4 linked regions of the Caenorhabditis elegans genome follow. The protein of the gene in region 2 interacts with the protein of the main gene of each other region in a pairwise test. Each region holds a gene or a part of one and is shown on either strand. Other genes may lie near its edges.

What was found.
Region 1: the proteins of spc-1 (region 2) and cyld-1 interact in a two-hybrid assay, tested with the Caenorhabditis elegans proteins (one large-scale study listed by BioGRID).
Region 3: the proteins of spc-1 (region 2) and alr-1 interact in a two-hybrid assay, tested with the Caenorhabditis elegans proteins (one large-scale study listed by BioGRID).
Region 4: the proteins of spc-1 (region 2) and F44E2.3 interact in a two-hybrid assay, tested with the Caenorhabditis elegans proteins (one large-scale study listed by BioGRID).

Annotation. Positions count from the first base shown.
Region 1 is NC_003281.10:9,907,332-9,912,886, forward strand, and holds the start of cyld-1 (ubiquitinyl hydrolase 1), read right to left. Parts: upstream 3,328-5,555; 5' UTR 3,327-3,327; coding exon 3,290-3,326; intron 3,238-3,289; coding exon 3,080-3,237; intron 3,025-3,079; coding exon 2,785-3,024; intron 2,392-2,784; coding exon 2,266-2,391; intron 1,986-2,265; coding exon 1,909-1,985; intron 1,866-1,908; coding exon 1,757-1,865; intron 1-1,756.
Region 2 is NC_003284.9:3,123,968-3,129,392, forward strand, and holds the start of spc-1 (Spectrin alpha chain), read right to left. Parts: upstream 3,095-5,425; coding exon 2,892-3,094; intron 2,839-2,891; coding exon 2,754-2,838; intron 1,777-2,753; coding exon 1,651-1,776; intron 1,599-1,650; coding exon 18-1,598; intron 1-17.
Region 3 is NC_003284.9:11,120,891-11,127,725, forward strand, and holds alr-1 (Homeobox ARX homolog alr-1), read right to left. Parts: upstream 4,731-6,835; 5' UTR 4,669-4,730; coding exon 4,540-4,668; intron 4,496-4,539; coding exon 4,372-4,495; intron 4,319-4,371; coding exon 4,132-4,318; intron 4,054-4,131; exon of another isoform or gene 3,761-4,053; intron 3,328-3,760; exon of another isoform or gene 3,181-3,327; intron 3,128-3,180; coding exon 3,082-3,127; intron 2,387-3,081; coding exon 2,209-2,386; intron 2,132-2,208; coding exon 1,707-2,131; 3' UTR 981-1,706; downstream 1-980. Other genes in the region: R08B4.3 (CULT domain-containing protein), read right to left, coding at 1-30. UniProt on the Caenorhabditis elegans protein: Transcription factor. Involved in activating or repressing transcription of genes in neurons. Regulates expression of nuclear hormone receptor odr-7 and LIM homeodomain protein lin-11 in AWA and ASG chemosensory neurons.
Region 4 is NC_003281.10:8,826,216-8,831,148, forward strand, and holds F44E2.3 (uncharacterized protein), read right to left. Parts: upstream 3,091-4,933; 5' UTR 3,073-3,090; coding exon 2,945-3,072; intron 2,898-2,944; coding exon 2,796-2,897; intron 2,289-2,795; coding exon 2,168-2,288; intron 2,120-2,167; coding exon 1,982-2,119; intron 1,914-1,981; coding exon 1,830-1,913; intron 1,444-1,829; coding exon 1,282-1,443; 3' UTR 1,118-1,281; downstream 1-1,117. Other genes in the region: F54F2.9 (DnaJ homolog subfamily C member 1), read right to left, coding at 1-246, 672-1,012; F44E2.10 (Malectin domain-containing protein), read right to left, coding at 3,476-3,577, 3,633-3,752, 3,849-4,059, 4,311-4,513, 4,562-4,692, 4,747-4,894.

The sequences.
Region 1 (5,555 bases), on a different chromosome or scaffold from region 2:
TTTAAGACTGCTGAGACACGAAAAATTGGAGATTGATTCTAGCTAAAATTAACAAATTTTTAAAGGAATTTTTGAACCACCATAGGTTTTTAAACACACCAAAAAATGTTCTATTATTTTTCTGCGTCACGAAAAAAGGTAGGTAGGCAATGATTGTATGGAAAAGGGATGAAAAAAAATGGAACTGAAATTGAAAACGGGGCAGCGAATGCGTCAGCCAACGAACAAAACATCATTGTGCATCAGACAAAAAAAAGAAGAAAAATATCACCAAAAAAAGTTTGTCCAACTGATTTTGTTTCAATCAATTCAAGTTCGATGACAACAAATTGGGAGAAGGAAGGGCGTCGCCAATGAAATGAGAAACAAGTTGGTTGAGACGATGAAGAGGAAAGAAAGAAACAACTAAACAGGCAAATAGTTTGTTAGAGAGAGAGAGAGAGAGAGAGAGAAGAGGATAACTTATACTTTCACACAGAGAAAGAGGAACTCTATGTTTTTTGTGTTGAAAAGAGAGAGAGAAAGAACTAAATAGAGAACCGGTTCACGATATCATTGACACTGACCGAAATATGTTTTATTGAACAACATCGAGAGGGATTAAGCATACAGTCGGCAGAAAATTGAGAAATTCTTTCAGTTTTAATTTTAATTTGAATCAGAAGCAAGGGCGTCGGGTTTTCAATTTTTGAAAAAACTAAAAATCGAAAAATCGAAAACTTTTCATTTTTCGATTTTTCTAAAAAGTTTTCGATTTTTCGATTTTTAGTTTTTTCAAAAATTGAAAACCCGACGCCCTTGCTTCTGATTCAAATTAAAATTAAAACTGAAAGAATTTCTCAATTTTCTGCCGACTGTATGCTTAATCCCTCTCGATGTTGTTCAATAAAACATATTTCGGTCAGTGTCAATGATATCGTGAACCGGTTCTCTATTTCATTTTTCGATTTTTCTAAAATTAGCTTTAAAATTTTGTTCATTGTTCTTCATTTTAGAATAAATTGTTTTGTTTTTTTCTCAACAATGTAAACGAAATTAAACTTTAAAAATCATATTTTATGGTTAATTTTCTGAAAAAAAATTGTCTTTTTGATTTTTCGATTTTCCGAAATTTTTAAAAATTCGAAAAATCGAGAATTTTTGTTTTTCGATTTCCAATTTTTCTATTTTGGAAAAACCGAAAAACGACACCCTTTATCAGAAGTATCATAATCTATGTGGATGTATTTTTTTTGTACATTTGAAATTTTCCCGGATTTAATTTTTTCCCGGACCAGAAGAGATAAATATAAATCGAGAGTTTGAGAATAAAAAATAAAAACGAAAATTTCTCGATTTTTTGGACACTAGTAAACTATTTAAGATGAGGCACAATCACTATTTCATTCGAAAAAACAAAAAAATTTCATTATTCGAGCAAGAGACTCCAATTTTTTTTCGATTTTCAAAAAAATTCGTTTTTTTTTTTAATTAAAGCCGGAAAATTGACTTTGTCAGAGCGGAATTTACAGAGGCCTAGCAAAAAATGTGACTCGTGGGCCATTAATTCCTATCCCATTATATTATTTTCAAGAAACTTATAAGTTAGTCATGCCATCGGAATTTCAATCAGTCACGTGTGACAGTCTAATTCTGAATACAAGGAGACGCCCATTTCTCGTCTGCGTCTCTTTATTTTGAATTCGTTGTTTTATTTTTCTTTTTTTTTGGTTAAAAACTAGATTCCTTTGAGAAACATATAATTTCAAATACTTACCACTTCCACAGAAACAGAATCGCCAATTTTCAGATTCAGAATGAAATTGAACCATTCGAAATTTTGATAAACTTCTATTCGTTTCTCTACACTGACAGCCAGAAGATGTCTGAAAAGGGAAAAAATTTTATTTATAAAGATAATAAATATACATTGCTTGATCTTGGTTTATTCTCATTACATCGGATCTGGTAATCATTGCACAAATCAGAGGAGTGCAGTCGAGTTCCTGAAATTTAAAAAAATTGAGAAACTGAAAAGGCATTAATTTGACGAAAAATTTTGTGCCAAAAATACGGTAGCCGATCTCGAAACGACAAATTTTTGGAATTTTTATCGATTTTTTAATCGTTTTTTCAAAAAAAAAAACAAGAATTCTGGAGAAAAACTATACAAATTCAATGAAAATTCGCCGGGAACGAAAATTTTGAATTACAGTTCTTTTAAATTTGTCGCGTCGAGACCCGCTACCGTAGTTTTAGCCGCAAAAATCAGGGTAATTACGATACCTCCATGGGCATTGCTAATCCATCACGTAAATGCGAAGAAGCTCTTGATTTTGTGAACCATTCTTTTAATTCAGACATTTTCCAATCATCATCTGCCATTTCGCGAACCATTGTTCCTGGTGGGATCTGAAAATAGAAAATAAAATTAAAAATGTTTAATTGTGGAAAAAATAAGCAAAAGACCAAATTTCATAACGAAACTTCTCCAAAATGCTTTACAAAAACATGATTTCAGCTAAAACATCAAATTATGCACGCTTTTGAGTGTCGGCCGGATTTTTTTCTCATATTTTGGTTGTTTCTCCGTTGATCAATCGATTATCGGCTCAAAAATTACCTAAATCAACAAAAAAAGCGTTTAAAAAACTTAAAGATGACAAAAAATAAATAAAAATCAAATTTCGGCAGCTACGACACGGAGAATTGGCGATTTTAGATGAAATTCTGTTTTTTTCCCCGAAAACTATCGCTATTCGGTCTTTTTGGCTCATTTTCCTCATTTAAATCCACTTCAATCACCTCAATAACACATGGTTCTTCCTCTCTTCCATAATTCGATGAAAATCGAATTCCTTGAACTTTTCGTTGCAAAAGAGCAACTATTAGCTCGGGAGAATTCCTATTCCTATCCAGCTTCGTCGTCCTATCTCGGCTATAATCGCTAACATCCACTAATTGATCATCTAAAAAGCCGGAGCCAGAAGCTTCATTAATAAGCTCAAATCCATCTATTAATGTGCCGACCGGTATATTTTGATTCTGAAAAAAAAAACGAATTTTTAAAAATCGATTTAGCAAGAATAATGTTACTTACGAGATTTAATCTGTTAGAATTGCTTGTATTTTCACTTGTATATAAATTTGAATTTTTCTCGGACTGTGTAAAATAATCAAAATCGTGTGCAGTTAAATTTGTTATTGTATTTGATCCCGTAAGTTCATCGAGTGGGTTACGAAATTGATGAGATCCAGCTGAAATTAAAAACATAGTTTTAAAAAAAATTATTATTATTTCGTAAAATACCTGATTGCTCCGGAAACTTTGCAAATTCGCCGGGCATTCTGAAATATGCGGGTTGTTTAGAACGTTTGACGAACGACAACATTTCAATAAATGAAATAAAGATTCGTACTATAAGTGGAGAGCGGTGGACGAAGCGCGCGCGCGAAGCTCAGTGTTACGTTTCGGTGAGCAAATAGAAAAGGACGTTGTCCAAACAATTATTAGACTTCCGCATCATATACCTATTTGGTGTTGAATAATATTTTTGGTTTTGACCTCGGGTTTTCCTTGCGCGCTAGGTTTTTTTTGCCGAAAAATAAAACATCGAGCAAGCAAATGACAGAGAACGTTTTCGAAAGAGAATGAGAGAACGAGAGCTTTGACACAATTATTTACAGAAAGCGAGGGAAAATGATAAGAGGCTTGCGGAGCAGATAGTTTATGTTGCAAATGCCATTTAAAATTGCGATTCTCTTCAAAAATGGTAAATTTTATGCGAAAAAATGTAGGCAAAGGTTGAGCATGTTTCTGAAAAATTTATTACGGAATTTACGACGAAAAAATCTTTAAAAATCGCTGAAAATGTTCAAAAATGCATTTAAATGAAACAAAACAAAAATAAAAATTCAAACATGTTTCAAGGGAGGTGCATGTCTGCGGATGGGTCTCGCCGCGCGCGCTGGAAATAAAGTTTTGGTGTCTGCGCCTGTTACTGTACAATTTCTAGGCTTGTTTTCTTCGATTTTATTTGCGGAAAGAAAATTATTGTGTCTTCTAATTTTTTTAAAATGTTCCATTATTTTGTTATTTAACTCAAAATTAATTGTTTTTATAGTTAAAAAAACATTGTTAAAATTCTACAGTAACATTTAAAGGCGCACACACTAAAATTTTATTTTAATTATACATCGCGTGGCGGTACCCAGCCAATATGAGATTTTCCGATATTTAGCGACAGGTTAACATAATTTTTCGCTTTATTTCTTTCTTTTTGAAATAAAACGAAGAAAAAAGATAGTAGTTAGTGGAAAGTGGAAAGTGGAAAGTTTTCAGAAATCAAAATTTCAAAAATATCCAGAATTGCTTTAGAATGAAAGAAAACCGACAAAAACCCAGTGAGCAGATAACAAGATTCCCAGAGCCCACCCCATCTCAAATAGAGCTTCAAATTGACAATTTAAAGTTTAGAGCAACCTTTTCAAGGGTACCAACATGACTAAAAATGTTGTGGCTATTTAAATGAGTATTTGGGTAAATACAAATTTTTTGAGATAAATAAAGAAAAGATGTAACATTCAGATTGCATGTACGTTTGTTTGAGTGCGGTCCAGGCACATGAGTTTATTTGTCAAAAAGATTGGACATTTTGAAGAAGACGAGAACTCGAAATGTAGCTGGAAAGTTTTTTGAAAATTCAAATTTAAAATATAAATTAAAAAATACAGAACCTTTTTTAAATCAAACCGAACACGCAGTTCAATGCAAAAATCGATAAAAGTCGAGGAAACGGAAAGACCGGTTCTCTTGAGGATAGACGGACAACGCATTCGATTGGACTTGCGCACCAATATAAACAACAATTGAATGCAATAAAAATGTAACTGAATCCATCTTATGGAATAGTGGAAGTTATCACATTTAATAAACAAAATTAATAGTTAAAAGTATCAACAGAAAATACATTAAATTATCTTTTCGTCTCTCCTATTGAACATTGAGTTATTCAAGATAATATTTTTTAGCTAGAAATGACGTGTGTTGAACTATTGTGTGGCCTTAAGTTTGGAACCATAATACTATAATGTGAACTTAAAGACGCACGGATTCATTCAGATGGGTCTCGTAGCGATAATAATAACCGGGGCTCATCTTAAAGTCTCCAGTAGTCGCTTTTTAAAAGGAGTTTGAGATAAAATACTTAGAATTTGAAGAGAGAAATAGGATTTTAAAAAAAATTAATTGAAAAACTAACTTGGAGAAAAACTATTAATATAGAAGTGAAAAATATATTATCTAGCCAGGTAGGACGGAAACTGAATACAAAAAAAATATTAAATTCAAACTGCCGCGTTTCTTTTTGCCAGTGTGTCTAATTCTCTTGGCACATGGTCAGAGAGGTTTCGCAAGAAATATTTCAACATTTTCTTGATTACCAAATATGTACAATTATATATCTAAACAGATAACTTTTCATTTGCTAGAAAATAGTATTATATTTATTATTAATAAAGAATTTTTACATTTTCCAGAAATGTGAAAATTCACAGTAAAAGTTTTGGCAAACTGC
Region 2 (5,425 bases):
AAAAGTTGATAACTTACATGATCAGCAGCAAAGTGTCCACTATCGATGATTTGCTCTCCGGTAGAACGAATATCGTCCAAACGGTTCTCGTTAGCCTTAAGCTCTTGCTCAAAGTTGATGTGCTTTTGGAGTTTTCCACGAATGTTGGTAGGATCCAAGTAAGAATCGTCACGAGCGGTGGACAGTTTTTCAGTGATCCAGCTAACCATCTCATCACAGTCACGGTCAAATGTCTGGCGCTTGTAGCTTTCCTTGAGAGCATTTCCACGTTGACGAGCTCTGTCTAGAAGACGACGACGACGGTCAAGAAGAGCTTGGCGTCTCTCGGCAACATCATCAGCAGCGTAATGCTGTCCTTGAATGAGCTTGGTAGCAAACTCGTCAAGTGCATTGATCTTCTCCTCTTGAGCAGCAAGCGATTTCTCAAAGTCCTCGTGTTTCTTGATGAGGTGCTCGACAGAATCTAGTGAATCTCCCAAATCAGTGTTGGCAAGGAACGCTTCCTGCTTGTTCATCCAGGTTTCGGCTTGTTCAGTGTCACGATAGAAGAGTTGGAGATCCATACATTGCTCGTAGAGAATACGACGTTCCTCCCACAATCCAAGAAGAGAAGACTTCTCGTGGTCAAGTTTCTCGAGCTTCTCCTGAACTTCTGGACTCTCTGGAATTCCCATCTCAACGAGCTTTTGTCCAGCGGATGCAGTTTGGTTGAACGAGTCAGCACGAGCATCAATTTCTCCCTTGTGTTCTTGATGACTTTCAAGAAGAGCTTCAGCGCCAGCCACGTCTTTTGCAAGCTCATCAGCTCCGATGACAGCTTTCATGTCTCCAATCCAGCTAATCAAGTCACGGTAGTCGGCCAAGAAACGATGAAGCTGGAAGCTTCTCTCAAGTCCATCTTTGCGGTGTTGAGCCTTCTCCTTGAGTGCATTCCAGGCGGCTTTGGTGTCATCGTTCTTTTGATGAATCGCTTCAGCACGATCTGGATGAGTTTCTGCCAACTTATGAGCTTCTTTCTCCAATTGGAGCATCTTTCCTTCAAGAGCAGCAAGATCACGTTCAGTTCCTTCATGCTTGCGTTGAAGAGCTTGAACATTATTGAGGTCTCTTCCGTAATCATCGCTTGACAAAGCAAGATCCTTCTCTCCAATCCATGCAAGGGTCTCGTCTGCATCGCGATTGAAGCGTTGAACTTGATGAGCTCCAAAGAGCCCTTCCTTACGAGTGGCCGCCAAAGTGTTCAAACGATGCCAAGCATCATTAACGTCATCGCGCTTCTTGTAGATCTGATCGTGCTCAGAGTGTCCCTCCTCGACAAGTTTGTCAGCAGCTTGATTGATCTCATTGATTCGGTACTGATGGTTACCGAGTTCTTTCAAAAAGTCGTCAAATTTACGCTGAAGTATCTCAACGTGTTCGAGATCCATTCCCATGTCTTCTGCGGTGACATAGGTTTCCTTCTCTCGAATCCAGTAGAGAATTTCATCGCATTGACGAATAAAATGCAAAAGTTTAAGTGCTTGTTGTAGCTTAATTCCCTTATCCTTCAGTTTGAAGAAGAGCTTATCCCAGAGGGCGTGCAACTCTTCCAAGCGTTTCTGAAAATAATTAATCATCAGACTGTCAAATGTCTTTAGTGATTTTAAGTACCTTGATGTGTTCGCTAGCGAAATGATTGTGTTGGATCATAGCGTTTCCGGTCTTGTCGAGGTTGGCGATGGTCTTAGCGTGAGCTTGAACCTCAGCTTCGAACGCTTCATGCTTCTGGATCTTGGCCTGAAAATGTTTTATGATTTACATTTGATCATACTTTCATTTTGATGTAAAAAAATTTTCTCTTTCAATTCATGCTTCAAAACTAGTCAACTCTTACTCTCATTTTTTTTTCAACCGCTAAACCTAGCAACAGAAACATAATCGCCTCATCTATCTTCTTACTCGTCAGTATTACTTATCATTCCAGGCATTACAGGAAACCGGCGGATCAAGTCAGGTCACGTCAGTTGCGATTACGCAGTGTCAAGGCCGTGTACGAACGCCCGACTTTTTATAGATTCCCGTCTATTACTATATGTATTCATCTCATCTTTCGATCGGAACGCATGATAAAAAACGGCGGCGAGGATTAATTGGAACCCCCACAGGAATTTATTGGGTTTTCAGTGTGTTTCATTATAAGTAAAGGTGAATGATATTAGGAGCAGTAAAAAATTGTTTCCTCAAAGACTTTTTAACTCCTAATTTCTAGCGCTCATATCTTCCAAAATGACGATATTGTGTAAAAAGATTTCATTTTCATCTTTTCTGCTTCCCAGAAAATAACTAAGTTAGCAAAATTCACATGTACTCCTCTCTACTCGAGCCAATTGTTTATAAATGTAATTGTGCACTACATTGCTTTCAGTTCCTAATCTTCAAGTGAGCATGCATGTTGGGGGTCGCAGATGCGTTTCTCGAAACGAAGGCACAGAGAAAAGCGCTGAAGCGAACCACTCAAATCAATATATTTTTGCTGCTGCGCCTTTGTCGTTGCTCCCAAAAGACATTTGTGTGCCCCCAAACAAGGCAGCAGAAGAAAGGGGTCCGAGTGTCCCCCCGAGGGAAAATGAACCAAGAGAAAAGAATTGTGCGAGTTGTCGTCAAAAAGGATTGAGAATGGAAAGCTGGGGACCAACCACAGAAAATTTATGTTTTAGATAACTTTGAAATAGATGATGAATACGACTGAGAAATAATGAGAAGATGGTACCAACCTGGAGATTGCTCGGATCTCTGAAGTTTTCTTCCTGAGCTGTCTGGAGCTTTTCAAGAATCCAAACGTTCAACTCATCAGCATCTCTTTAACAGAAAAATTAGAATTCTAGACAACCCAACAAAATTTTAGAACTAACCGTTTGAAATATTGAAACTGACGAGCTTCCTCGAGACGATCTCGTTTTGTCTGCGAGTGATCCTTGAAAATTGAATAGTGACCTAATACTTCCTGACGACGTTGGTGAATGTCATCAGCAGTCTCCAGAATACGAATCTCCTGTGGTGGCGGTACTTCTAGCACCGGCTCTGGTGGAGCATGAGTGTCATTCGAATCAGCCATAATCTTATTTCGCTGAAAAACAATTGTTTTAAAACCTCCATAGAAATGAAAATGAAAGAAAGTTGATTATGAAGAGACCGTAACAGAAACAAATGAGCAAATAAATGAGAAGAATGTAACAAAAAAAATCAGAGAGAGCTTTAGAGGATAAATACAACGTGGGAACAAATAATGACGAAGTGCGGAAAAGAATCACCTGGGAGACAAAAAATAATAGAAAATGGGAAAGCTTGTGGCTTTAATTTAATAAGCTTATAAATTCTACGAATGAAAATTTACCAAGAAAGTGTTACTCAAAAAGTATATCATGTCAAAAGTAATTTTAAAAGGTGGTTCCATTTCCAGCCCACACAACTGTCAACATTTTTGAACTGATAACAATATTTCGATGAGTCAGACTAACTCCGACTCCGCCGTTTACAAGCTGTGTTGAAATTGAACACACAGCTGTCAGAAACAGAAGAGACATTACAAAAAAGGGGTTTTGCACAATGCAGCAAATTTTGAAAATGATGAAACAAGAAAGAATATGCTCTCAAAGTGAAAAAAGGAGATGACTTCAACTGGTTCAAGTACAAGAAGAGCTGGCAGCTATCGATCGCCCAAAACGACCCCCGCGTCCACAACACCAACACAAAACCGAATGCAGAGAACGAGAGAGTGTGGCTAGAGAAGCAGAGACAACAAGAGGGGAGACGACTGCAGGCCTGGACGCGCTCGTCCCGCTCAGCCTCGCACACAGCCGCGCTCTGACTGCCCTCACACACACTCACACACACACACACTCACAAAAACGCACTCTTCTATTAAATGCCAGCGATTTCCTCTCAACAGCACACAGTCCCTCACCGAATGCATCATCCTCCATCTCTCCAGTTACTCGCAGTTTGACTCTCTCTCTCTCTCCGGGGTCTCCGCCAACACACACACCACCGACCACACATTTATGTATATATTCGGAGATGGAGTATAAAGTATGTCCTCCAAATATTTGCAAGTTTCACTGATGTGTTGTCAATAAAATTGGGTAATCGATTTGGAACGGAAGAAGTGATGATGAAAGAGAAAGTGACAGAAATTATTAAAACGGGAAGCGGGAAAGCGGGAAGGATAACCGAAAAAACATAACTTCAAAATTTGGAAGTAAAAGTGAGTAAATGAGCAAATTAGAAATTTCTTTGCACAAAAGAATATTCGTTTTAGTTTAAAAACCACGATACAAAACCTCCAAACTCAAATAACTACATCCACTTACGCTAAACAACTGAATGATTTAAAACAATAGGGGACCCCATTCTATCAAATCTAAAAGCATCCACACAAAAAGCCGAAAAAGGGATTCTTCAAGGGCTTTTTTCTTAAGTGACATGGTCAAGCTTTGGTTCATAACAAAAGTGAGCAAACACCGGAAACGGGGAGCCGCGCCAAATCTGTCAAGTGCCGGATGGAGGCCACCTGCGTTCGAAAACTTCCTGCGGACACATGAGTGAAGGACGGCAATGAAGGAGAAGGAAACACAAATGAAAACTATTAGTTCTCTCTCGTTTTCGAGTTCGTCACACTCTGAGAAGAGGCAAAGAAATTCGATACAGCTCGGGGCGACGTTTCGTTGAAGACGGAGGGCAGAGCATCTTTCAAATTCTTATTTTACGTCAGAATTTGGCATTGATGCCAACGGAAGTTTTGTTTGAAATGAAGAATAAAACATTATAGAAAATACAGTGTGGGAAAGTTCTATAGGACCCCCCCTAATTTGAAGGTTTGAGGAACTTCCGAAAATTTTTTTGAAAAACTGCTAATGCCATTCGTTTTTAAATTGAAAAAAACCTATATACATTTTTTTCCAGAAGTTTATCTCAAAAACTGAGGTCGCGCTGGAAAAAACGTCAAAATCCAGTGTGAAACTTCTATAGGACCCCCCGTTTTTTTTCACGATTTTTACTAAAATCAACAGATTTTGGAATTTTTGACAAAGCTCAAATCAAGTTTGAGTTAGAAATGAGTTCATATAAGCAGTTTTGACTTTAAAAATTAATACGAAATGTTCTCGTGGGATCTCCAGACTGGTTCTGATTCTTCCGATCTTTGATGTTCAAGTCTGTTTCAAGCTTCCTGGTGCTCTCGGTAATGCCAAAACTTGATAAACTCTCTTTAACAAGTTCCTACTAAAATTCCTAGCACGCACTTTAGATGTTTCGACTGTGTAGTCAAGCTGATTTGGCAAAATATGCAGCAGGAAACAATGGAAGGCTTATCAGGAATCAAATCGTTTTTCTTTGATTACAAGGTTCCATGGGACCAATATTTCAAGTTAAATTGTCCCTCACAGAT
Region 3 (6,835 bases), 8.0 Mb from region 2:
AATATATACAAATATCAAAAGAATCCACATAGCAAAGAATCGATAAATACTCGATGCCTCGGAGGTAAAGTGATGGGCCACTTCCACGTACAAACGATACTCCGTTTTTACACATTGCGCCGGGTTTGTCGTAATTTGTACGACGTATCAAAAAATGTTCTGAAGTATATTTCTAGGTGAATTTTGAGGAAATAATACTAATTTAATCAGTTTATCACGTTCAATAGATTTATTTCAAGATACACTTACAAATATTGTAACATTTTTATAAGAACTTCTGTCACAACTTGCAAAAATGTTTAAATTCTGTTAAATTTTCGTTTTAAGGATACGTGTTAAGAGGAGCCAACGTACAAACAAAATTGTGCATGTTTTTTCTGCAAATTCATACGTTTTAACGTATTATTTGCACTTTTATTCGTGCTAATTTTCGAAATTTGAATGAAGGAAAACTTTTTTAGGTTGATTGTTTTAATCGTCCCAATATAGCTGACAAAAAACGGGCAAGCCATAACATTAAAAATATAAAAATAAATTTAGATGCTTTTTCAAATTTTGAATAGTCAAATAATACTTTCGAGTATCATTCAAGACGTTTCGTGATGAAATTATCAATCGTGAGCAGAATGAGTCTCTGGAAAAGAAAACGCCTCTAGAAAAGAAAAACGATACTTGTGTAGTTGTTGTACTCCAAAATGTTCGAAATGGAGGAATTTCCATAATAGTCAACATACGTGTTTTATTGGTATTTTTATTTCACGCTTATGAACGATTTTTTTCTAAGCCTACAATACAGAAAGGATTTACGTTTTATTTCTGGAAAATATTGAATACTATTTTGGGTACAGTTATCACACAATTACCGAAAAAAAGTTTAATTTTGTATTATCTATCTATCATAATTGCATTTTACGATTTATTTAAAATAATAATACTATACTGTGATCTTCGAAGGATTCATTTTTATAGTGTACCAGAGGTTATTTTACTAAATTTATTAAAATCCAATAAAAATCTTGAAAGAAAAAGTGCAGTGAATATATATATATATTATATGCAAATCAAAAGTACAGATTTTGGAGAGGGGAGGCCTTTGGTGTTTTGGATTCAGTTAACAATTAAAGAGGCGAGTTTAGAAAAAAGAGGTTGTTGTTCAGTGTATAACACGAGCGTTGATTAAATAATCTATGAACAGTGCTTCCCAAACTACATAGATTTGACAAAGGATTATTAGGAAATGTTGAAAACAAAATACAAAGGTAAGTTTAAAACAAAACGTCACGATGAGTGGAGAAAATGGAGATCCGATTTCAATTTGAGTCAAGGAATTCTAATTGTCATTGAAAAGGGGAGGTTGAGGATTTGAATAAGGCGAAGAGCTCACCGGCTAACTTCGGTATAACAACGACACAAACTAATAAAAGCTGGAGTATAGTAAAGCCGAAAACCATTTTAATGCCTACATTTCGAGGTAATCGAGAACATTGGCGGTCAGGAGAATATGGGTGTTTGGACTGTGAAAGGAAACTTGGAAAACATTTCAAAATCTTGAATATTCAAAATATATAGGACGGGAATCACACATATGAAACGTTAGGTGTATTGCAAATTTTGTTGAATAACTTTTTGGACCAGGCAATCTATTAAATGCAAATAAAGAGGAGAATTTCTAATTTTTGTAGTGAAATTTTTTTAATTGTGTTTACTCATGAACTTTCTTCTTTTGGCTTCACATCGGATATCAGACTATTCATGTCAGCAAAATTCGTAGGACTCGTGGATGTTGCAGCAGCTCCGGAACTTTCAGTTGGAGTGGGTGATGAGCTTCCCGCTCTACTATTCGATTTCGAGTCTTCAGTTTTTAATGCTACAACATCGGTGACTTCAGCCGTAGCTCCTGCTGGGACTGATCCCAGAAGCTGAGTGCGGAAAGCATCCATAGCTCTGCTGAATTGTTGAACATAAAGCAACTGCTGCGTAACAGGAGTAATTCCACCGAACAACATATTTAATGCATCTGCGTTTTGGAACGTAGGTGTCACAGAAGTTGGCAAGATTGGAGAAGATGTGGTCACTGGTACAGACGGGGACTGAGACCGACGATCAGATGTTGCAATCCGTACTTGTTCATCTGAAATTTTATAGTTGCAGTAACTTGCGCTAGGCATGAAGAACTATCAATTTGGTATATAACAGTAAAAAACTTACTTAAAAGATGAGCCGCGGCTTGCTGATTGATAGCTGCAAAAATAGCTTCTTGGCTGAGCATCATCTGGTACGGATTATCTCCATTTGAATTTGGAATACTCATTGGAGCTTGATAAGGGTGATGAGTACTGCTGCGTTCTTGTTTGCGATACTTGGCTCGTCTGTTTTGAAACCAAACCTGAAAAACATAACGATGAAGATGACGCTGGGAAACGATTCACTACGCAAGAATATTTAAATTGTAAGCTTGTTTTTCTTACTACTTAATTCTTGAAACAAATATTCTAAAAGATGATGCATCGGAATTTGCTTTGTTTAACTTTCTTACATGCGAATGGTCGTCTTACTGTTTAACTGTGATATACAAGTCCCAATGATAATTTTTTTATTGATTGATTAAATAATGTTTCAAAAGTCACAAAACAATTTTTATATTGGTTAGATTTAATCTAACATGTATCTTACCTAACAATAGATACCACTTATCGCATTAGATCGACATTAATTTTATTATAACTGTAATATGAACCGAGCAGATGAGCTATTAACGCCAATGTGTTGGTCCCCCCTCGTTACCTTATTTAAAAGCAAGGTGACGATGATCTATTAGAAAAAAGAGATTAGCAAGCAATCGCGTGAAGCAATTTAGATAACATCGCGTGCTTAACTAATTTTTTCATTCGCTGGGTATAAGTACTCATTCGTGATATATTCAATCTACACAATCTCGTCGCGTCATTCCAACACCACCACATGATGGGACCAATACTGCCTTTTCAATGTGCCCCACTATTGGCGCATTTATAATTCGTTATGCATTATCAAATGAATTTGGGCGAAGAGATCTCGAGATGAAATCCTACTGTAACTTACTTGAACTCGGGCCTCTGTGAGCTGGACTCGTGTTGCCAATTCTTCCCTGCAAAAGATTTTCGGTGTAATTAAGCACTTGAAAGCGGTTTTAAAAGGAAGGGGGAATCTAGTAAGAGGGGTTCTTGAATGGTAGCACCACGCCGGAGCAATTGTCATTGCTCAATTAGATCTGAATTGAGACCGGACCTTGGTACTTCTTTCGGCACTGCGTCAATTGATCACGCATTGTTTTTGGGTAAACGCATGGCTTAAGAGGCAAAAGTCAGTAATTAATCCGTGCAATATCTAATTGATGAACGGAACAGGTGGTCACGCTCTTCCTACACAAGACACCTACCCACGTCTTAATTCCTGTTAATTCTTGTTAGTAAGATAGGATCACGATAAGATCATCACAGGTGAGAATGTCTAGGATTCGCTAATTTTTCTATGAAAATCAGATTTTTTCCAAAGATCTAGCTCCAACAGTATATACTTTGCAACCTTCAGAGTTTGAAAAATTAATAAATTAAGCATTTGGTTGCCTGCTCAAAGTTGAATAGCAAAATAATACTTTCCAACTTTTACCAAAACAACAGATTACATTTCTACTCGCTACATTGTTTGTTTAATTAATCTAATTTTATAAAAATCTAGTCCCTTGGTTCTAGAAATTATGCGACCCTCGTAAAACTAAATGGCCCTCTCTAATATTGAGCAAATGAGTTTGTGCTTCTTCAATTAAAGCGTCTGTGCGCAAACACACGCAACGCGACACTTGATATTGTGCATTTTGCATGATTGCTTCATTATGAGTTTCGCCTTTTTCCTGTCCTCCCCACCTCTTCACCACTTCATTTTTCATTTTCATTTCAAATTGGATTTGTAAAAGAAATGTTAAATGTAGAAGGTAAAAAAGGTGAAATATGCTGAACTTGACCTCGATCATTATAATGTTTGAAATTGATAATTAGTGCCATATGGTGTAAGAACGCAACACAACTGTTTCCAAATTCAGGGAGAAGGGAAGGAAAGTGAAATTTTCATATTTAATTAGTAACTCATTCTTACCGAGTGAACACATCTGGATAGTGAGTCCTGGCAAACACCTTCTCAAGCTCGTCCAACTGAAATGCACTGAATGTTGTACGGTATCTTCTTTGTTTCCTCTTTCCATTATCATCCGGACTGTTTGTGCCATCTGAAGGGGATCCGTTTTCTCTATTGTCAAGTACTGAGGCAGCTTCTAAAATATTATCTGAAAACTTACGAATATATTTTATTAAATTAAATTAAAAAATAATATCTTACCTCCAGTGGGCGTTTTCTTTCCATCGTCTTCTTTCAGCTCATGCTGATTATTAGTCAGCGCCGCAATAGAAAAAGCTGGTGGAAATGATGGGAACTGTAACGCTGGATTTGCAAACAATTGTGCCTAAAAACGACGTGTTAAAATTTAAAAATATTTAACAACGCTACCTGTAACTGTTCCATAAGACTTTTTGAATACTGATTCAAATCAGCTCCATTGGGCCTGTGAAGTGGCGGGCAGTTCATGTCTAGATCTTTCTCGTCTTTGGAAGAGTCTTCTTTCTTCAACTCGGGCATACACAATGTGAATCCAAGTTGAAACGATTTACCAAAGTTGAAAGAAGGAAGCGAAAACAGCTGGAAAAAATGTATAGCTTTATGTTGAAAATAACAATGAGAAATGATCAAACGAATAAAACGAAACGAATAAAAAAGACAAATCAACATGAAGATAATGCTAGAGAATAATATGATGTGTAGAAGTAAAGTCAGCTAATTGAATCATGGACTTATTTGCATTCAGAAAAATTAATATTTTTACTATGATGAGTAAATGAATTCAATTTTACAAGAAGAAGCTTGGAACTCATCAAAGTAGACAGAAAGCTTAGTTCAAATAAAAGTCCACGCCCAAAATCGCCTGATGATTGAGCCCGGTATTTTGATATTTCCTTGTAAAAATACATGATGTTAGGAAAAAAGGGAAGAGCCAAAAAGTGATGCGTTTATCTGGTTTATTTCGAGATGATCTACCTGACAAATATAGAATTTTAAGAAGATAATTTGATTGTGGGCGAAAGGATTTGGCAACATGGCTTGCCGAATTAACAAAATGTGAGTGTTATTTTGAATGGTGAGGCATTCTAATTCTTCATTTACGCACAACGCACAAATTCCAAAATTTTTGAATCTTAAGTGCTAGTTTATCCCAATATCCTCTGTCTCTTTTTATGTCCTCAATCCTTAAACAAATGATGAGTAGGATTTTATATATATGCCAAAAAATCACTGTCTAAAATTAGATATTCCTAGATTTTACAGATCACGATGATGGGATACTAAAAAGTCGAAATCAAATCAGATAAGCGGATTTCGAAAACACATCTCTACGACAGTTGGAATAAATAAAAAAGAAAAACAGTTCAGATTGATATTAATGGAATTTAGAGGTTTTGATTGTCTAATTTGATAAGATCTACTCAACTTTCATGTTTACCGCCAATACAGAAAAAAAGTGAACTTCTTATCAAATCTTGTCAGTGAAAAGATCACAAAACGGAAACCATGCTATGACAATGAATTAGACTAATTCGATTTTCCCTTTGCCTGGAAAATAAGAAAATCTACCGAGAACCGAATGGCGATCAACATATTCAATTAGTTAATGTGTTAAAAGATGGCGACTTTTGCCAACCACCGAAAATGACGGGGGGGGGGGGGGGGGGCAAGCGGGCTTAAAAGGGGAGGGGGTACACATTATTTTTCCTTGTTTTCCTGCCCTTTCACCTTTGTCTTTCAATTTCTCTCTCTCTCTCACTCCAAGGGGTCGCTTTTCCTGTTAGGATCAAATTACCATTTGCCACATTTTCATTAACTAATGAAATTATGAGAATGTGGGCTCCGTACTGCTCCCGGCAAAAGGTGTGATGTGCAAACGGCAAATATACCGTTTTACAAAAAAATAAATTTCTCTTGAAAAGTCTAGAAAAAGCAAGTTGGAATTTTTGAAAAACTAAAAGTAAACATTAATTATCATTTCGAAAAGCAGACCAAAGTTATTATTAAAACTTGAAACATTAAAATTATAATTCAGTACAAAGAGAAATTAAAACATGAATTGAGAAATCTGTCACAGTGGACACCCAGGAGGTAAGCAAGCAGGGAAAGCTTAATAGGATTTCTAAATAGGTTCATTAATGGATGAGGTATCTTGAGGCGGGCGGTGCATATATTACGAGATGTGTAATGATATAATTATTGTGTTGGAATATCTGAATTTTCTGTTTTCGATGTGCCTCGTCTTGCCTTTTTCCTCCTCCATCCGGAGTGTATTTGCACGATACCTGAGAATGATGTAAACGCAGAAGCTAGCCTCTAATTCAATTAGGCTTGGAAAATTAAGCTCAAAGCAAACTGATTCGAATAATTCTAGTAACTCGGATTAGAAGGAAAATAAGGAAAACGACTTTTTCGGAAATAGTTTAATTCACCGGAAATGAAACAAGTCACGGAGTTCCGAAACGCACACGTTTTTGCATATCTTGGAGATCAGTGAGGAAACAAAAATTAAACACCGAATTTTAATACAATTATCAAAAATGAATGTAACAAATAGAGGCAATTGGTTTGGTAAGTGTCAACCCGGGAGAGCAACACTCCACTCTTTTCCGGCTCCGCCCACCAAGTGTCTTGAGCACACCACCGTAGTTTTGGACAGAGCAAGATCTGCTGTTGTAGTTTGGGT
Region 4 (4,933 bases), on a different chromosome or scaffold from region 2:
GTACCTCTAGCAAGAATAATTGGAAGAAGTTCTGAATATTTTGGAAGATACTCTTCAAGTGCTTGTTTCATCAATTTTTCTGCTTCCGCTGGATCTTCTTTTTTCGATTTTCGCGATTTTTTCACATTTTGTTTGTAGACAAGAGTTTTCTCGAAATATGCCGCCCACATCATCAGGTAATGAGCGATAGTTCCGATAAAAAGAAGCACAAGGATTCCTTCATACCATGCAAGTTTTCGCATTCGTCTGGAAAAAATTATTTATAAAACACTATTTTAAAAAAATCCGAATTATTTCAGTTAACCATGTGATATGGAATATGGTGGAATGGGAAGGAAAATATTTTGGTATTTCTGCCAATTTTTAAGACTAACACATTGCATTTTATTTCTGAATTTGATCAGATTTAAGATTGTCACGCAACTTTTATTGGGCAAACCTAGTTACTTTTTTTTTGAAACCATCGCAAAACGTATAATAGCAATGGGGATTTTTTTAAACTATTTATATGATTAATTGGAAAACTCATTCAAATTTTAAGAATATATTTACAGTCAAAAAGCATAATTTTTTAAGAAAAACAATAACAATCTTATGTAGTTTTCTCGTATTTTTCTGTACATTTTTTTTCCAATTTTCAAAAATAAAAACCACTATGTGAATTCCCTCACCTATAGTAATACATAGGATGCCTCCACGAAGGTAACCCATTTTCCAGAACATTATCATATTTTTCACGAAGTTCTGTAGTCTTCAAAACTTCATAGATTCCAGCAACTTGACGAAACTTTTCCGTAGCATCAGGCGCAGAATTCCTATCCGGATGCCATTCAAGTGTCAATTTTCGATATGCTTTCTTTACTTGATTCGACGAGGCATCTCGTGGAATATCGAACCACTCGTAGAAATTAACTCCGACTTCTTCCACTAAATCATATAGAGCCAAATCTTCTGATGTCCATTGACATTCTGTTAAGGATATTAGGAAGGCAAGGAGAAGGATGACCCGCATTCTGCAATAAATATTTCAGAAAATTCAACCAAATTTTTTTAATCTATAAAAATTAGAGATTTAAACGATTTACGTATACATTTTTATTATTGGACCAACAAAAAATAATAAATAACAAAGTTTTTTATTTGGTTTTACGAAATTTTGAAGCGAAGACAATTAAATTTTAAAGTGGCTTCATTAAACAAAAAATAATAAACTCTGAAAGAAGTGAGTGAAGAGATCGGCGAGGTAAAGTCAGGTGCACAGGCGATTTGTTCATCTTGTGCTCATTTCCCAAATTTGAATTTAATCGGAGCCCGAGAGTTGCCTGATTTGTTCAATATCGCCTGCTGCTCATTCTTTTTCATGTCCGATTTCTGACGTGCAAGTTCAGCACGATCTCGTTCCAATTGGCTCTTTTGCTCAAGCATTGCCAAACGATCTTCCTCCTGAAATGAATAACTGTTAAATTAGGTCGAAGTGCGGAAATTTGATTTAATTTAAACTAATAAAATCTAAAATTGATTGTGACTCGCGTTGAAGATGAAGATGATATCCTTGCACAAATACCTGCTAGACGGGGGGCCGAATCATCAGCGACGACATGTCCTTTCGTTTGTTGGCACACAAAATTGTATAAATCAAAGAGGAAATGGAATTAATTGAGGAGAAAAAGAGAGAAAAATTAAGAAAAATGTTCAAGACGAGAAATAGATATTTGATATCTTATAAGCTGCTGAAAAGATGTAGAAAAATGAATAGAATCCGGCAGATTTCGTAGATCTTTCGTATAATTGGAATATTTGCATTCTTGAAGTTGGAGGAGACAACTTACAAATTTCTTGCGACTTTCTTCAGCTTCCAGAACTTTTCTTTCTAGTTCTGCTTCCAATTGTTTGCACTTTTTACGAGATTCTTCCTGAAAACTGGTAACATTAACCTTTGTAGAGGAGAGGAAATGTTTTATAAAGTAGAAAAAAAACTAACATCCCGTTTCTTGCATTCCGCCAATTCTACTGCCATTTCTGCTTCGATTTGAGCTCTCAACATCTTTTCCATCTCATTTCTTGCCGATGTCGCTTTTTCAGCCATCATTGCTTCCAGTTGATGTACACGAGCCGATACCTGAACCATATGCTTTTAAAACGACAAAATTGGAAAGAAATTAATTACCTGCTCAACAATCTTCTCTTCCAGCCATTTTTTAGTTGGTTCGTTCAAAGTGCTCACGTCGAATGGGATGCTTGTGTCAACTGGGGGATCCGACGGTGGTGGTGGAGGAGGAGGTGGAAGTCTTAACGAAAAACAGGTTATAAACTATCTTCAAACTGGATTTTAAAACTTTAACATGATATGTTCATGGAGATAGTAGTTTTTCTCACTTGACAATTATTATAACTTACCACCTAAACTCGAAATTTTGCGATTTTCATTAAAAATACGCTGTCTGGTCTTGAAGTGACCGATTTTCAAAAATGCAAAAGTGTGTGCGCCTTTAAGGAGTACTGTAGTTTACAACTTCTTCTCATTTCCACTGAATTTAACTTGAAATTTATTTGTTTTTATTGCTTTTTCTCATATTTTCAAAAAATGAAATATTTTTCAATCGAAAAACTATGAAAAATCACCTAAAAGCTTGTTTGAATTGAATAAAATCGATCGCTTCGATACCAAAAAGAAAAAACAATAATCTTTTATAAACAAATAATTGTCTAACTTCAAAAAGTGTGATTTTTTGAAATATGAAAATTATTTGAGTTTCCGTATTCTGGAGAAATATCGATTAAAGTTGAAATCTTACTTTGGAGATTCATTTCTCTCTCGTCGACGTCTCTCTTCTCTGAAAATACTTCCCAATTGATGTGGTTCGGCTTGTGAACCTTCTGACGATGAGCTTCGATGCCTGGAACTTTGAACCTTTTATTGATTGAATTTTAAAAATATAAAAACCTCCGTTTTCTCTCTCTATCCTTTCGGTCTCGTTTTCTTTCTCGATCACGATCTCTGTCCTCACGTCTTTTTCTTTCTTCTCGATCTCTTTTTGGTGACCTCGAACGACTTCGTGATCTTCTCGACATTATCGAAAAATCTGAAACGATTTGAATAATGAATTGTTAAATTCTGAAAAAATAAAACTGAAGAAGACAGAAAATGCAGGATGCGTATGTGTATTGACCCGCCAATTGTCGTTGTACACGGCGGTGGACTAGTATTCCCCATGGTTGAAATACGTCCACAAGTATTGCCGGCCATGACCAATTTGCAGTTGCAATTGAATTAATCGAACAAAAATTGTTTCATTTGTTGAGCATTTTAAATAATAAATTAAGCTTGAGAACAAAACAAAAAAAGAAAAATTCCTAGTTGACATGAAATATATTTACAAGTGAAAGATCAAAAAACCCACAATATTTTTCTCACAGAGAACATAAAATCAATAAATATAAATACTAACAAACAAATGGAAAAATGTTTAAAACATCAATCTTTTCTAGTTCCCTGGTTTTTCATCTGAATTACGTAGATCATAGGAATAACGACGATAAGAATGGCGACAAGCGGAAGCCAGATGTTCATGGTTTCCTGTAGGAAAGACTTAAAACAATTAGAAAGCTGTTAATAATTTATATAATTGTACCTTTTCAAATGGATTCTCCGTTCCCGCCGCCGATGGTGCACTGTACATTTCTTCTTCGTCAGGCTCATCTCCTCTGATGATTTGAGGTTTGAAACTATCTTCAGTTGCATCGTCTTCATACTGTAAATTTTTATATTTGAATGTTTACGAAAAATAGTGAAAACTTCGAATTTATTGCATAATATATATTTAATTTTTATCTCTATATCAACTCACAATGTCAAAATCCTCCGGGAAATGATCTTCAACAATGAATTTTTCTGGCGGTGATGGCAGATCTTCAACAGTTCCACGAAGAATAGCGTATCCATTGAGTTTCGGATTATCATGGGGACCTTTTGAGAGCTCAATGATGACTTTTCCTTTGTATTCTCTTGAATGTCCAGACACCGAAATAGAGCTACCCTTGATAACCACTGGAATATAGCTGCAAAATAAAATCATCATTTACTATATATAAAGTAGAGTTTCCTTCCGTCCAATATAGGCCGGACCAACACTAATTCACATAAAATTTAAAATTCCATTAAAAAAAAACAAGTTTATTTATATAAATTTAAAACAAAGTTTTTTTTTCGAACTTTAGTTTAAGCCAATTGGAGGAGGTCGAGTCGTAGTCTCGAACGACACCGGCTGGTTATTTTAATAAATATGAATTATTATTTTAATAAATCTTACACATCATGGGCAAATCCTCGACCGCCAGCTGCATCAAAAATGTCTAGATTTTTGACAGCCAGATGTGAATTGATTCTTATATTGAAAATTTTTTCTCCAGCTTTTTGAAAGTAGACTTCCGAGAATTTCAGAATGATGACGTACTCGCCATCCTCGCTGATTGGAACATCGTAACTAAATGATTCTTTGCTCCATCTCTCAGTCTGAAATACATTTCTTCGATCAACCAGTTAGAATTATTTAAAATCTACCTGATAAATTTCCATATCATCTACTTCAGCATTATTGAATGAGTATTGCATTCCATGATCTGAAGAGACACCATCCTCTGACGTATCTGCAGAATACTCGATTCCATATGCTCCCAAAGCATCAGGGCCTCCTGGAATAACATAAAAAAGTCAATTTCAATATAAAATCTCCATGAAAATCTTACCGCAATTCACTGCAGCAACGACCCGATTCTTCAAATTCACAGTTTTTGCTGACGAGACGACGACAATGAGAAATGAGATGAGCAGAAGCTGGATGCTCATCTGAAATGCACGAATTTGAAATGAGATGGAAAATGGATGAGCGGACATTTATTAGGGAAACGGGAACAAGAGGTCGATGTCCAATTA